Linked DNA regions of Xenopus tropicalis. The protein of the gene in region 1 purifies or fractionates together with the protein of each later gene. This does not show direct contact. Links are inferred from orthologs where the notes say so. Each region holds a gene or a part of one and is shown in the gene's direction. Other genes may lie near its edges.

What was found.
Region 2: the proteins of rnf114 (region 1) and protein mono-ADP-ribosyltransferase PARP12 purify together in Homo sapiens (affinity purification with mass spectrometry; 3 studies listed by BioGRID and IntAct, counting the BioPlex papers as one, with this or other methods). This does not show direct contact. The link is inferred for Xenopus tropicalis from reciprocal best matches to the Homo sapiens genes RNF114 and PARP12.

What each region holds. Positions count from the first base shown.
Region 1 is NC_030686.2:36,181,144-36,183,938, forward strand, and holds the end of rnf114 (E3 ubiquitin-protein ligase RNF114), read left to right. Parts: intron 1-133; coding exon 134-240; intron 241-359; coding exon 360-474; intron 475-1,198; coding exon 1,199-1,306; intron 1,307-2,070; coding exon 2,071-2,136; 3' UTR 2,137-2,248; downstream 2,249-2,795. UniProt on the Homo sapiens protein: E3 ubiquitin-protein ligase that promotes the ubiquitination of various substrates. In turn, participates in the regulation of many biological processes including cell cycle, apoptosis, osteoclastogenesis as well as innate or adaptive immunity.
Region 2 is NC_030679.2:8,065,885-8,069,968, reverse strand, and holds the start of protein mono-ADP-ribosyltransferase PARP12, read left to right. Parts: upstream 1-1,225; 5' UTR 1,226-1,298; intron 1,299-4,084. Other genes in the region: zinc finger CCCH-type antiviral protein 1, read right to left, coding at 535-827.

The sequences.
Region 1 (2,795 bases):
TCTGTAACCAAAAATAGCTGTGGGATTGAGGGGGATCTCTGGGTACTGAAAGTAACAGCATAGCAGAAGTACTTGTGTGTCTGGTGTGTTATTATTATTATAGGAAATGACCTAGGTTCCTTGCAACCTGCAGGTGAAACTTTCAAAAATGCGTGAACACTTCGCTGCCTGTACCAAATATGATAAATATGTCATGAATGGAATTAAGGCTGTCAAAAAGAGCCACTCCCAGGAAACTGGGTGAGTATGTTTTCCACACAGTAGTGACCAGAACATTCCTTTTCCAATACGTCCTTTTTATCCTCCATATGTAGATCTTAAGGCATTTAAATGATTGTACTTCATCTTCCTTCCCACAGTGATGTCCCAAACCGCTTCACCTTTACTTGCCCCTACTGCCAGGAACAGAACCTTGCTCAGGAAGGATTAGTGGATCACTGCAAGAGGTTTCACATGAGCGATCCAACGCCTGTGGTGAGTTGATGACGGGACTATTGTATTGCTGCTACTGGAACACTCGCGTTTGGCTCTGTCTTAAGAAAAATTGTTTATACCCAAGTATGGAATAAGATTTAGCTGTCATTTGTTTACTGTACATTATATATCGGCATAATTGTGTTTGTTTGTGGCAGTGGCTTTGACAAGCTAACCTCCAGTGTCCATATTGTCAGAGGAAGTGGCTCAGCCTTGCAAAGCAGTAACATTTCAATAAAACATCTCGGGGTACCCTTGTTTTATCCACTCAAACCATATACAATTGTATTAGTTTCTGTCCAGTTGCTAAGGTATCGCATACCCAGTAACCAGGCTTTGGTTGGAATGACATGACAGAAAGTAAATAGATGAGGGGCTAAATAGCTTGATAATAATAATCATCGTCATCATCATATAGCCTTCCCCATAACAAAAGAATAAATGAAATATTAGGTTTTTAATTAGGCAAAATTTAAAAGGCACAAAAATTGACCATATTTTTTTTTTAGGCAAATTTTATCACTCTATTTTTGTGTTGCACTGTGGGTATCAAACAACAGCTCTGCAGTTTGGTATATGTATTTGCATTCAATTTGCTCAGTTCGATGCTTTGGATATAACACATTAAGTTACCAACATATAAGTGATAATTGTCATTTGATTAACAGTAAAACTGGTGGTGCTGTAACTTAACCATGACTTAATCTTTCTCTTGTTCCATTAGGTTTGCCCAATCTGTGCCTCCATGCCATGGGGAGATCCAGGTTACAGGAGCGCCAACTTCATAGAGCACATTCATCGCAGGCATCGTTTCTCCTATGACACCTTTGTGGTATGTATCAGGCTGGGGGAACACCATTACAGTGACATGATGTTAGAGTATCATCATGTGTGTGCATAATGGATATGAAGCAATGTGTGGGGAATGGGAGTGGCCATACCCTGGACGATAAAAGCTGCAGACATAAGTCGGCCATACACGCGCGATAATATCGTACGAAACTATGTTTCATATGATATTCGGTGCATGTTGGATCGACGAGACAACTGATATTGCAAAAGCCTTAGATATCTGTCGTCTTGTCAATCGGGCGGGACAAAAGCTGCATTTAAGGGTGAATTCCTGTTGTTTTTACCTCCTGATCTGACTATTCAGCCCTCAATGTCAATAGAGGGTACAAACGATCTTAAAGAGCGAAAGATTACGAAAGATGGCAATTGTTACATGTATGGCCACCTTTAGTCATTCCAGCTTATTTGGCTTGCCCAACTGATTTTTGGCTGAATAATCAGGCTGGTTAAAAAATCCTTGCCCCAAAAGCCTGCATTCCCATGGTTGTGATCCAACTGTTTGGCTCAAGAGCCACACAATAGGACAGAAATGAGCTGATTTTTATGTGTATGGCCAGCTTTAACCCCCTCCAGTAACTCCTAGCAACTAGTTAGCTTTTGCACCTGATTATTATAACTGGCTTAGGATACACTGTAATAAACTAACTCTGCAGAGAGGCATTTGTTACACTGCTGATACATATACAGTGGTAGGTAGTGGGGGAATTAGAATCTCTTAATCCAAACCCTTCCTTTTTCCATAAGGATTACAGCGCCGATGAAGAAGCAATGATGAATGAAGCATTAGTGCGGTCTATTTCAGAGAACTGAGCCTTCTACGGATTGGATCAGAAGCAGAAATTCCTGCGTGGTTGTGCCCACCGTGGCAACTTGGCAATAGCCTTTCAACAACTTCCTCCGTGTTATTTTTCATTTCGTATATGATTATACACTTCCCTCATGTATAAAAAAAAAAAAAAACCCCAAATGAGGTGCTTCTTTTAATATAACATATGAATGTATTGGAGTGGTTGTCTGTGTATGTGGAACCCAAATTCAGTCAGGTTCATTTAATTGTTTTGCAGCTTTAAGGGTTAGGGGACATTACGCTGGCGTTTATCAGCCCTGCTGGCCATTATGTGAACTGCCCAACCATTCTCAACCTGAAAATGTGCTAGAAAGGTTGTCAGGCCAAGAGCAGTAGCACCTATGGGCAGATCTAATTAAGGTCAGTGGAAGTTGCCCAGAGCAGTTTTGGGTGCTGAACCGATATTCGCCCCATATGCCTTCAGCCTAGAATGCAGCAGTTTCAGGTTGAACCTGCAAATGGTACTTGATCAAGAGCAATGTTCATGTTTTCATGTTTTTTAGCGAGCTGAAGCATCTGTAACTCTTATGTAAATGAATAACAAATTGCACCTTTATAAAAACACGCTCATTTTTCTCCCAAAAATTGGTGTAAAATTAGCGGCATATGCCTGTGTAATGTT
Region 2 (4,084 bases), on another chromosome or scaffold:
TGGGGGGATAATAGCCTCTGGGAAGGGACTGGGGCTGTGGGATAGCAGGTATAGTAGGGAGAGATGGTGCCTATAGTAGCAGTGGGGGGATAATAGCCTCTGGGAAGGGACTGGGGCTGTGGGATAGCAGGTATAGTAGGGAGAGATGGTGCCTATAGTAGCCGTGGGGGGATAATAGCCTCTGGGAAGGGACTGGGGCTGTGGGATAGCAGGTATAGTAGGGAGAGATGGTGCCTATAGTAGCAGTGGGGGGATAATAGCCTCTGGGAAGGGACTGGGGCTGTGGGATAGCAGGTATAGTAGGGGGAGATGGTGCCTATAGTAGCCCCAGTTCTACTCATTTACTGGTCGGTACAACTATACTATTCAATTTTTTTTTCTCCCTGAGAGTACTGACTTTGGCACATATCTAGATATGAGAGGTTACTACACCTTTACTACATGTACCAAGCCTTTGCTATTATTACTGTACATATATCACTTGCTCCTGGTAGTAGTGGCTCATACTAACGCGTTACTCCGGGTTCTACTCACCCCCTGCCCCGGGCAGCCCAGCACTTGCCCTGCAGGTAGAGGCGACAAAGATGCAGCTTGTCGCACTCCTTCTCCTCTTCCTTCTGTTTCAGGTAGTCGGGGCAGATTCGCATAGCGGTCCGGGCCAACACCAGATCCCCCGATACGGAGAAGCGATGCGGCTCCTCTTGGAGAATCTGCTCGATCTGCTCCGGGGGCAGTTGCAGGAGGTCCCCCAGCTGGGAGCGGCGGAGGCGGCCCTCATGGTTGCAGAGGAGGCTGGTGAGGTAGGAGCTCACTCTGGGGTCGGACATGGCTCTGGCACCGGGGGAAGCGAGTTCCGCCTTTAGTGTATAGAGCGCCTCCTACCTGCCCCGGACTGAGGGAGAAACGAAACTGAAACAGGGGGCGGGGCAAAGAGAGTAGCGACGTCATCAGTATGCCGGTCCCTCCATACAAAATCCGCCCTCACAGAGTAGTTCGCATCCATAAATCGTGAAAGAAACAACCATTCAAATGCAGAGACTCCCACATATTGGTACAAACCCGCCAAGGTACAGGTTTGGGCTATATTTTGGAGCCTTTTACTTTGGAAACTAGCCAAAGTTGTGTTTCCCTCTAGTGTGCCTATCCCACTGCATGCTGGGTAATGTAGTTTGTATTTAATAATTAGCCTACAGCTAGGATTGATATAAAACTACAATACCCAGCATGCAATTGGACAGTATAGACAGAGGTTCCTATTTCTATTCCATTCAGGCTCAACCTGCTCCCTGCTCTATAGGGTATGTGATTGTACTGTTACTTTCTACTGGGATGTGGGGCAGTTCTACCCCCTGCTCTATAGGGTATGTGATTGTACTGTTACTTTCTACTGGGATGTGGGGCAGTTCTACCCCCTGCTCCCTGCTCTATAGGGTATGTGATTGTACTGTTACTTTCTACTGGGATGTGGGGCAGTTCTACCCCCTGCTCTATAGGGTATGTGATTGTACTGTTACTTTCTACTGGGATGTGGGGCAGTTCTACCCCCTGCTCCCTGCTCTATAGGGTATGTGATTGTACTGTTACTTTCTACTGGGATGTGGGGCAGTTCTACCCCCTGCTCCCTGCTCTATAGGGTATGTGATTGTACTGTTACTTTCTACTGGGATGTGGGGCAGTTCTACCCCCTGCTCTATAGGGTATGTGATTGTACTGTTACTTTCTACTGGGATGTGGGGCAGTTCTACCCCCTGCTCTATAGGGTATGTGATTGTACTGTTACTTTCTACTGGGATGTGGGGCAGTTCTACCCCCTGCTCTATAGGGTATGTGATTGTACTGTTACTTTCTACTGGGATGTGGGGCAGTTCTACCCCCTGCTCTATAGGGTATGTGATTGTACTGTTACTTTCTACTGGGATGTGGGGCAGTTCTACCCCCTGCTCCCTGCTCTATAGGGTATGTGATTGTACTGTTACTTTCTACTGGGATGTGGGGCAGTTCTACCCCCTGCTCTATAGGGTATGTGATTGTACTGTTACTTTCTACTGGGATGTGGGGCAGTTCTACCCCCTGCTCTATAGGGTATGTGATTGTACTGTTACTTTCTACTGGGATGTGGGGCAGTTCTACCCCCTGCTCCCTGCTCTATAGGGTATGTGATTGTACTGTTACTTTCTACTGGGATGTGGGGCAGTTCTACCCCCTGCTCTATAGGGTATGTGATTGTACTGTTACTTTCTACTGGGATGTGGGGCAGTTCTAGCCCCTGCTCCCTGCTCTATAGGGTATGTGATTGTACTGTTACTTTCTACTGGGATGTGGGGCAATTCTACCCCCTGCTCCCTGCTCTATAGGGTATGTGATTGTACTGTTACTTTCTACTGGGATGTGGGGCAGTTCTACCCCCTGCTCTATAGGGTATGTGATTGTACTGTTACTTTCTACTGGGATGTGGGGCAGTTCTACCCCCTGCTCCCTGCTCTATAGGGTATGTGATTGTACTGTTACTTTCTACTGGGATGTGGGGCAGTTCTACCCCCTGCTCCCTGCTCTATAGGGTATGTGATTGTACTGTTACTTTCTACTGGGATGTGGGGCAGTTCTACCCCCTGCTCTATAGGGTATGTGATTGTACTGTTACTTTCTACTGGGATGTGGGGCAGTTCTACCCCCTGCTCTATAGGGTATGTGATTGTACTGTTACTTTCTACTGGGATGTGGGGCAGTTCTACCCCCTGCTCTATAGGGTATGTGATTGTACTGTTACTTTCTACTGGGATGTGGGGCAGTTCTAGCCCCTGCTCCCTGCTCTATAGGGTATGTGACTGTACCATTACTTTCTACTGGGATGTGGGGCAGTTCTACCCCCTGCTCCCTGCTCTATAGGGTATGTGATTGTACTGTTACTTTCTACTGGGATGTGGGGCAGTTCTACCCCCTGCTCCCTGCTCTATAGGGTATGTGATTGTACTGTTACTTTCTACTGGGATGTGGGGCAGTTCTACCCCCTGCTCTATAGGGTATGTGATTGTACTGTTACTTTCTACTGGGATGTGGGGCAGTTCTACCCCCTGCTCTATAGGGTATGTGATTGTACTGTTACTTTCTACTGGGATGTGGGGCAGTTCTACCCCCTGCTCCCTGCTCTATAGGGTATGTGACTGTACCATTACTTTCTACTGGGATGTGGGGCAGTTCTACCCCCTGCTCCCTGCTCTATAGGGTATGTGATTGTACCGTTACTTTCTACTGGGATGTGGGGCAGTTCTACCCCCTGCTCCCTGCTCTATAGGGTATGTGATTGTACTGTTACTTTCTACTGGGATGTGGGGCAGTTCTGCCGTTGATCCTTAAGCTATAACTTTCAGGATATCTTGGGGCTGCTGGGAGTTGTAGTTCAACGCACCCATATGTATATCATGTCTGGGGTTAATGCAACATCATCTAGTGGACTGGGCACAGAGGGAATTATCAGCCATCCCAGTAACTGGAGAGGGGGCACAGGGCTTGGGTAGTGATTATACACTTTAAGGTATGGAGATCCAAATTATGGAAAGATCCCTTATTCGGAAAACCCCAGGTCCCGAGCATTCTGGATAACAGGTCCCATACCTGTACCATCTTTGTCTGCATAAATAAACCAGTTGTTAATTAGTTCATCAAGAGCTTCTGGTGTCCGTTTGCTTAATTACTGCATTTTACGCTTACACGTTGCAGTGGGAGGTGTAGTTGCACAACACCCTCCATATAGAAACTTCCCCTTAGTGAAGGCCCATCCTGCTGAAGAGGATTCCAATGTATCCCATGCTCTACCCATAGCTGGAATTTGTCTACTTTAGCCAAAAAGGGGTTAAACACAGACTGCCAGTCCGGGCTGTCAGCCAGTGCCTATGGGATGCCCCTACCTCTATTTATAAAAATAGATCACATGATGTGTTCCCTTCCTGACACAGAGCCCATGGCCCTGTAACTCCTCCCCCTGGGCTTTTGCTGCCTATAGAAAAGCAGCACAGGGGAATATGCAGATGAAGAGGGCGGCCCTCCCATTACTCACTCGCCATAATTGTAATGATCGTCCCACAGG